Mus musculus: one gene and its partner. The protein of the gene in region 1 binds, or shares a complex with, the protein of each later gene. Links are inferred from orthologs where the notes say so. Each region holds a gene or a part of one and is shown on either strand. Other genes may lie near its edges. The genes, in order: Prpf40a and Sf1.

What was found.
Region 2: the proteins of Prpf40a (region 1) and Sf1 are in contact, whole or in part, in an NMR structure (PDB 8PXX), measured with the Homo sapiens proteins. The link is inferred for Mus musculus from reciprocal best matches to the Homo sapiens genes PRPF40A and SF1. Residues at the interface, in NP_001352526.1 of Homo sapiens: His164, Ser166, Tyr172, Tyr174, Ser181, Thr182, Trp183, Tyr213, Tyr215, Ser222, Arg223, Trp224; in NP_004621.2 of Homo sapiens: Pro575, Pro576, Leu577, Pro578, Pro579, Gly580, Ala581, Pro582, Pro586, Pro587, Pro588, Pro589, Pro590.

What each region holds. Positions count from the first base shown.
Region 1 is NC_000068.7:53,188,237-53,192,838, reverse strand, and holds the start of Prpf40a (pre-mRNA-processing factor 40 homolog A), read left to right. Parts: upstream 1-1,606; coding exon 1,607-1,816; intron 1,817-2,738; coding exon 2,739-2,870; intron 2,871-4,311; exon of another isoform or gene 4,312-4,391; intron 4,392-4,602. Other genes in the region: Arl6ip6 (ADP-ribosylation factor-like protein 6-interacting protein 6), read right to left, coding at 317-716.
Region 2 is NC_000085.6:6,362,201-6,366,658, forward strand, and holds the start of Sf1 (splicing factor 1), read left to right. Parts: upstream 1-1,489; 5' UTR 1,490-1,887; coding exon 1,888-1,918; intron 1,919-2,319; exon of another isoform or gene 2,320-2,506; intron 2,507-3,463; coding exon 3,464-3,592; intron 3,593-4,458. UniProt on the Homo sapiens protein: Necessary for the ATP-dependent first step of spliceosome assembly. Binds to the intron branch point sequence (BPS) 5'-UACUAAC-3' of the pre-mRNA. May act as transcription repressor.

The DNA of each region.
Region 1 (4,602 bases):
GTCTCTTAACATCAGCCTTAGGACGTACAGCAGTACTTTCTTACACGTACTTTTTTGATCCTTTTAAAAGTAAGGGGCTCTGCTGTTTCAACTCAAAGTGTTCAATGCCTTTACGGCATTAAAGACTGTAGATTTAGCCAAAGATCTTTTCTAAATGGGTCTCATGACGGAGCAAGGACGTCCATCTAGGGAGAGAAGACAAAAGGGACGATAGCAGTCTCGAGGGAACGCTTTGGGAGGAGAGTGTGAATGGGGGCGTGTGATGTACTGGCTGCACTTTACGCTGGACAGCCTTTCAAGGCCTGGGCTTCAATACCTTTAACGATCATGTAGGCGATGGCGAGAAGGAAAGCAAGGAGGACGGCGAACAGCAGCGAACAGAGAATGGAAAGGGCTTGGATGGGCCACCGCCGAGCCTGGGTTCGCTTGGCCGCAGTGGCCGGGAAGATGCCGTTGCGCTTATCCGGCAGGACCGGAGACCCGTCCCCGACCCGGGGGAGTAGCGGGGCCCTCTTGGTCTCCGACGACGCCCTGGCTGAGAACTCTGCCCGCAAGTCGCGGGCCACTTGGTCGCATCCCTCGTCTTCGTCGCCTTCGCCCTCACCCCAGCTGTCCCCCTGAGTGTAGTCGGAATACCCGGGCCGAGTCGCAGGGCCTGGGGTAACCTGACGGCGCCTCCGCGCGCCCGCAAACCTCCAACTCTCCACGAACGACATGGCGGGAAAGACTGAGAGTCCCGCGAAGGTCGGCTGTCCACCACCGCCACGCCCCGCCCCGGCTACAGCCAATCAGAGACGGCCGTCGGCGGACCCAACCACCGCGCGCAGAACCGTAGGGGAGTGCAAGAGCGGGTTACCCGGGGACTCCGCTTCCGGAGGCGCCGTGGGAGCGCGCGCCCATGGCCCGCCGCGACAACACTCTCATTTATTCCACCCTTTCGGGTCCTGTGGGCACGCACCTCTCGAGCCCCATGACCGCAGTTCCGCGCCTTCCTAACCGCCAGTCGCTTCCTCCCTCGGGCGAGAGATCTCTGTCTTTACCGCTCCCCGCCAGATACAGTTCGCGCCTCCGCCCTTCACTATGCCGGGCGCGCGCGCAGCTCTCGAGTTTCTCCCCCCCACCCCCAAAGGCACGACCCCCTCCCCAGGGCAACCGCGCGCGCGCGCACTAGGCCGCTAACGCCGGGTGCCGCTTCCCCCGCCCCACCCCCACCCCACCCCTGGTGGCCTCAGGTTTGTGGGGCGAACGTAACTAGGGCGAGGGGCTGGACGCCACTGCCCCACCCCCCGACGGGGTGCGGTGGCCCGAACCCGGGAATCTGGGTCCCCGCCGTGTCCCCTTTCCTGGGGGAAGTTGGTAGAGTTTCCCCGGCAGAGCACTCGACGCAGAAACTTCCTCCGTCCCCCCTCCCCCCCCCTCCATGCAGGCGACGCCGAGCGAGGCAGGGGGCGAATCGCCGCAGAGCTGCCTGTCGGTCTCGCGCTCTGATTGGACAGTAGGGAAGCCTGTCAGTTTATTGGCCCCGCTGATCCCGCCCCGCAGCTCAGGGCAGCCTTTACCCTTTGGCCCCGGCGGGCGCCAGCCACTCAGATCGCTTCTTGTTGGTATGTGCAGCGGCAGTGGCCGCCGACGGAGCAGTCTGAGCCCGACGATGAGGCCGGGGACTGGAGCCGAGCGTGGAGGCCTCATGGTGAGTGAAATGGAGAGCCAACCTCCCTCGCGGGGTCCCGGGGACGGGGAGCGGAGATTGTCCGGCTCAAACCTGTGCTCCAGTTCTTGGGTCTCTGCTGACGGCTTCCTGAGGAGACGGCCCTCGGTAAGGGATCGGCGGGGTAGGGGAAAGCGGCACAATGAAAAACCGAGTCAGAGAAACAGGAAGCTCTCTCCAAACGGAGAAGAGCATATCAGGAAGAGAGCTGCAGATGGTGGGCTACGTCCCAAGGGGGAGAGATGGAGGGCGGGAACACACAAAGAAATAGGTGGGACCTTGGACTTGCCAGTGGTCTTGGCCTAGGTAGATAGATGCCTTAGGAAGAAGGAAGGTGCTGGGCCCCGGGCGGACTGTGCATCTGAGAGCCCCAGGCTTGACTTACAGTAGGGACACTTAAGTCTGTGGGACTTAAGGAGCGGCTGCTGCGGTCTTATTTCTCCGGGAGTGGTGGTGATTTGCAGGGCTTGGGGGATTCGGTTGGGAGAATTGGCTGCGGATACTTAGTTTCAAGCCAGGAACAATGGAAGTATTATATTTTAAGCTCCCTAAAACGGCATGAATTTGTTAGTGTCTGGGACAGTTTAACTCTATTAAAACATTTGTGAAGTACTCTTGGGTACCCGCACTCTGTTTTAGGTCTTGTCCATATGAATGTAATTTTAAGTAGTATAAGCTGGTTATGTGTATAAAGGTGACGGAAGTTGTGTTCATCGTAATAATTTTTTAAGTTGGAATTCAATACATAGTCACCAAGTCTGACCAGTCATTTAACAGTTTGTTAAGTCATTGGAGAGGGGTTGTAATCCGCTAATGGGTTTAACTTTTCCATTATTTTGTAAATTTTCAGGCCCCATCTAATAATCACTGTAGTGTAATTAAGATTAACTTCAGTATATGCTAATACTGTAATTTAATCACAGTGATTTAATATTGTGCCTTAATTGATGGGTTTTAGTTGTTGTTTTTGAAATGACATTTTAAAGAAGCATTTAACTGTCTCTCACTCTCCCTTTTTATTATTTTTCAGATGGGGCATCCTGGCATGCATTATGCACCAATGGGCATGCACCCTATGGGTCAGAGAGCAAACATGCCTCCTGTACCTCATGGAATGATGCCACAGATGATGCCCCCTATGGGAGGGCCTCCAATGGGACAAGTAAGAAGACGCTTTCCCTTTGGCTTGCTTAGTTTTGTTTGAGTGTGTCGAGATGTATTTAAGATGTAAGTCAGTGGTGTACTTGCAGCCCTTTAAAGGTTAGTTTATATCCACGTAATGTCTTCAAACAAGACAAAACATTACATTGCTCATGTCTGTAACCAAATTTTGAATGTAGTAAGACTGTATGAGAAAAAATTAACTGACTTCCTCAACAAAATTAAGCTTTAAAAAAAATAAGCCGGCTGTGGTGGCGCACGCCTTTGATCCCAGCACTTGGGAGGCAGTGGCAGTTAGATCTCTGAGTTCAAGGCCAGCCTGGATCTATAGACTGAGTTCCAAGACAGAGAAACCCTATCTGGAAAACCAAGCAAATAATTTAAAGTGAGAGTATACATCTAATCTATTTAACTTAGTGACTTTATTTCAGGCATTATAATTATTAATGGTCTAGGAGTAAATATATATCAGAAGATAATCGTGGTGAATGTGTAAAGCCTAGCATCAGAAAAATAGTAGTTACTTGGGGTTTTCATGTAGAATGAATTTTATTCTTGGAGTATCTTCCTCTTGTTTGGGGTGCGGAGGGATTTTCTGCTCTATTACTAATTCTTTCCTGGACAGTGCCAAATAGGTAGCTCATTTTCTACTTAATTTTTGAATGATAATTGCTTCTATACTCCTACTTGTGCGTTGCCCCTTGAATCTCTAGCACAAATCGTAAATGGACGTTTTTTCGTAGGAGTGATTGGATTAAAAGGTTTTAAGATGACTCAGGAACACGGGTAGAATTTCTAGAGAAGTGGTCAAGAAAGACAAGAGCTTGAGGTGCATCAACAGTTCTGTCCTATGCTAGGTTCTATATAATACACTGATTCTTAGGTGGGCTGGGTTATTCCAGTTGAATATCTTGATAAGTCATGAAATTTTTGATTAGCAGAATATTTTAGAAAGCCAGTTGTATATTTTCTTTTGCTAATGAGTACTATTGAGTTTGACGATGGTTTGAGCAATGAAGGCTAAAGTTACTGGTGAAATTACAGGGGGAAACAGGAACTTGTGTTTTTTTGTTTGTTTGCTTTTTTTATTTTAAAGAGTAGAATGGCTCAGTGTTAAGTGGTTTTCTTTTATATTTGGAATATAGCCCTTAATTTTGGATAAGAAAATTGTATTCAAAGGCACCAAACTGAAAAGATTCTGCCTGCAGGAGTTCCTTATAGAAAAGATTCTTTTGCTCTGTTACTCTCGAATAATAATACTTTAAAACTCCCTAGGATATGCAGAGACAACTCTTGATTCTTTTTCTGTATCTTTCCATCTCTAAGCAGCACAAAACCCTTCTTGTTTTCTTGGTAGAGCTGCTCTAACTAGATAATGAGCTTTAAAAAATATTTATTCTCTAATGCTCTGGTTCTTATTTAAAATTAGTTTCTTTCCACAGAAAGATAAAATAAAACAATTTGCTACTGCCAGACGCTTCTCTCTTTTCTGGGGCCTTCTGTGTCCATTGGGCCAGGCAAGGTAAGTTTGCAAGGGGTTGGCCTGCTTACCCTTGCTGTCCCGGTGCTGTTGCACTAGCAGTCCTGAGATGCCAGCTACTCATTTTTAGTACAGTGCAGATTTTACTTTATTTTTTTAAGTAATTGGCATACACTGGTCACAGTTTGTTTTGTGGCCCCTTCTCTTTAGCTGTGCCAGTGACCATATTCCTAATTAGTTTACTTTATACTTA
Region 2 (4,458 bases), on another chromosome or scaffold:
GAGTGCTGGGATTAAAGGCGTGCGCCACCACCGCCCTGCTGTCCAGCACTCTTAACTGCCGAGCTGGCCCCTCCTCTGCTTAGGTTGATAGGTTTCTTGGGTATTACAGTTGGCTTTTCTACTTTCACATGTCTGCTGATGTAATCTGGGAGTTACATGTGCTAGGTTCTACCACTCAATTGTATTTTCTGCCCAGACATTTGCTCTTTCTCTGTTCTATGGCCATTTCCTCCCTACCTGTCATAGTCTGTTGACTTGTACCATCCACCATACTTGAGTTTCTTATCTTTGTAGTCTCTTTATTCCTAGATTACTCCAAACCTTCTGTTGTCTACATGTCTACTTTTCTACATCATTTTAAAAGATTACTTAGTCTTATGTATATGGGTGTTTTGTCTGCATATAAGTCTGTGCACCATATATATGCAGTGCCTGTGAGGCCAGAAGAGGGTTCTGATATCCTGGGACTGAAGTTACGGATGGTTGTGAGTCACCATTTAGGTTCTAGGAATCCAACCTGGGACTCTGGAAGAGTAGCCAGTGCCTGGTCTTATCTGCTATTTCTCTAGCCACTCTAATTACATATTAAACACTGTTTCCCCTACTGGGTCTAAATAACCTCTCTGTGAGAACCCTATCTATCCCCAGTTCTATTATGTTGTGCTAACCTGTTTCATTACTCTCATGTTTATTTCATGGGAAGGAATGTTTGGCCTCAGTCTCATTTACAAGTTCCCTACCATTTTTATGGGTAATTTTAAGGTACCCGAAACAAATTTCCAACGCATTGAGATTTCCCTGGAAGTGCACACTTTTAGACTAACTTTTGAAATGACTTTCTCTCCCCTCTCCAAGAAGGACTTGGAGCGCCTGACTTTTCCTTTACAAGAGTTAGTATGTGCCATTGAACCTGGATTTTTTGAGACAGATATACTGTACCCCAGGTTAGCCCCAAACTCATGTCAGCTCTCCTGTCTCAGCCTTTCAAGTTCTCGGGTGACAGGCTACTTGGCTACCTTGTACCGGAATGAAATAAAGTCTTTAAATACACCCACCAACTACCCTAGTTTTGAGCCATTTCGTAACACTATTTTTCAGAGAAAACAGGAAGTCTTTCTCTACTCTACCTGCAGCTTCGACGTATCCTGTTCGTCAGCTCGAGCCCGCCCCTTCGCCGCGGTCCCTAGTTACCTCTAGCACAATGACTAACGTCACTTAAGGCCTCCGTTCCGCCCCTCTGGGGAAGGGGGCGGGGACACGCGTGCCCTCCCTACGCATGCGCACCCCTGCTCTCCGCCTTGGTTCCGGCTTCTCCTCCCGGCTTTCTCCATTCTCGAGCGGCTGGCTCCTGGGGGAGGGGAATCGTTTCAGCCAATCGTGTGGCACTACGACGCCGAGGCGCTTACCTCCATCGGTTTCAGCCAATGAGCTAGCCGTTCTCTCACGTCACAGACTTTGCCCCCTCCTATTCCCCTGCCACTCTGGCCTCAGTCCGCGCAGTAACAAGGAGTGCGCGCTGCGACACCTCCCAGTTCCCCCGGCCCCGCCGCCATTTCGTCGCCGGGCCTAACGGTTCGGCCAATCCCGACCCATATTGAAAAGAGCCAGTGCTCCACCAATCGGAGGCCGCTGCCTCCGACCTCACCTCGGGCCGGCCCAATCCAGGCCGCGGCCCCTCCGCCCCGAGCCCGCCCCCGCGGCGTCCTTTCTCCTCCCTCTTTGTGCGTCTGGCGCCGCCGCCGCCCGCCGCGTGAGAGGACGGGCTCCCCGCGCTCTTCAGCCGCGTAGTCGGGTCCCCTCCCCCCCACCTCCAGCTCCCGGAAGGTTCGTGAAGGAGAAGTCGCCGCGGAGGACGAGGAACCGCTGCTGCCGGTCCCCTGGGGCGCCATGGCGACCGGAGCGAACGCCACGCCGCTGGGTAAGCTGGGCCTACCAGGCCTTTCCCCACTTCCTGGGCCCAGAGGCAGCTTCAAGCCCAGCCTATTGGCGCTCGGGACGCCGCTGCCGGGGGCCCTAACCACGGCCTTGTCCTTAGCGGCGGTGCCGTCACCGCCGCCGCCCCCGGCCTCGTACCCGCCATAGCAGCCGCCCCCGCGCCGCCGCCGCTCTTTTCAGCGAGGGTCGCCTCCGCGCCAGGACCAGCAGCCGGGCCAGCCCGGTGGCGGCGGAGGTGAGTCGGGCCGATAGAGCGCGAGAGTCGTCGGGCGAACCGAACCGGCCGACGGAGGGGCAACGCCACCGCGGTTGGACGCGGCGAGGACGCGCGCGCGCGCACGGGAGGCCCGGGCGGACGCGCCACGGGGAACGCGCGGCCTGGTTTGGGAGGCTTCGATTGCGCACGCGCACCGCGAGAACCAGAAGGGCGGGAGGAAGCGTTCTTCGCGCAGACGCAGTGAGGCGTTCAGGCTTTGTGGCGCAATTGTGGTAGTTTTGGAAGAAGCCACCTGTTGCCCCCTGAGCTCCTGCTATGGAGGACAGGAGAGTCAGGTCCACGGGACGACGTGGTGTGAGTGGCTCCCTTGATGGTTTTTAGCAGCCCCGTGGCAGGAGTGTCTCCTTTCACAGTGAGGCGAGTTCGGAAGGCTACTAGGGATGCTTGAGTTCGATCATTTATTAAAGGTTTTCTCCTTTTGTTTTCTAGAAGGTTCTCAGAGTGACCAGCTTTCCCCGTGCTGTTTTAAAAGGCTTTTTCTCTGGGCCTGTAATCTGAGAAGTAGAAAACCTTGTGTGGTAAATGTAGGGAAGAATGTAATAAATCAGAGTTCTGATGACAAGTGTCCACTGGTCAGGAAAACTGATCTTTCCACGAGTAAGAATGGTCATATTGAAGGATGGCATGTTTCCCACAGTAATGTGTAGCAAGAGATTTGTTGTGTACTCTTGTAGCTTGAGTTCCAATGCTTTGTGGGCCTCATTCCAGTTTCCTCTTTTCTGCCCTTTAAGGCATTCAGAATTGATAATATGTATCTGTACACTTCTGATTCTGGGTTTCTGTGCATTAAGTCTTGGAAGCAAGGGCATGATGGTTCATGCTTTTAATCCTAGCACTCTGGAGGCAGAGGAAGGTGGGGCTTTGAGTTTGATGCCAGTCTACATAGTTTAAGACTGCCAGGGTTCTCTAAAGGGACTTCTGTCTCAAAAAACAAACAAAAGATCCAAAGAGTTGGAGATATGCATCAGTGGTAGAGCTCTTACCCAATATATGCAAAAACTCTGATGTTAACACTACAAAAGAAATGTGTTCCTTGTTACATTCTCTAGTATTTTCGTTTTAAAAGAACTAAATGTGAACTGTTCCTTAACTTTCCTGACAGGAGGATCTTTAAAATGGCTGCTTGTTTTCTCTGACCTCTGAGATTTCTTTCTTTTTAAAAATTTAGGTGATTTCAGTTTAGTTTTAATTATCATGAACTGCTTGCCTTCTGGTTCATATTTCTGCCTGATGGGCTCTGTCTGTCTTTAGACTTCCCAAGTAAGAAGAGGAAGAGGAGCCGATGGAACCAAGACACAATGGAGCAGAAGACAGTGATTCCAGGCATGCCTACAGTTATACCCCCTGGACTGACTCGGGAACAGGAAAGAGCTTACATAGGTAAATACACGTTCTACATCCAGGTGCATCTTCAGATTGTTACTGCAGATTGTTCTGAGTGATGAACCTGTTGAAAGTCTTAAGATTTTAGTCATGGGAACAAGGTGTGATGAGCTATGCTTTCATAGCTGTGTAATCCGTGATTTGCTTGGCCAGTCCTGCATTTGCAGCTTCTTGTTTGGGCCTGCTCTTAGCTCGGCAGCCCCCTTCTCAGCTGCTGTTCTTGCTCATTGGTGAGGTGAATGCTATCTTCCTCTCTGGACAGGCCCCAGTGGAGAACACTGCAGGTATTGTAAACCAGTTGCTTTTTTGTAGCATGGCCTTTCACCATAATGTCATGGTTCCCTTTCCCTAAAATTGTGGTTTCGTTTTTTTATAGGTACAAAATAGTTTAAGCAAAAAGTGGCTCGGAAAGCATTTATAGTTTACCCATTTTGTTGAATTTAATCCTTCCCTTCAGTATCCTTTCTTGTTCCATCTTTAGAGAGCTGTCTTAAAACAGGCTCTTGTAATTTACCACTAAAGGACTCTGCTGGGAAGGGTTTACTGTTTGATTTGAAATGAAGTGGTGGCAGAATTTAAAAAATTAGGTTACTGTCCACAGTAGAATTAAACCTCAAAATTACTTAAAATCCAAGGTCATAATAAATGGAAGTTTTATATCTGTCCTGCTGTCTCAAAAAGTGCACTTGATAAACATTTTCAACTAACCAAGTAAACATCCTCTTTGGGGCAGAAACCTCGTTGGGTCCATTGAGCTGTGTCCTTCTCAGACAGCTTCAAGGCTAAGGTGCTCTGAGTCTGGAGGTCTTCATTTCCTGGTTCTTAGATTGCTGAGGATTTTGAGGCGTGGAATTGTCTGCTTC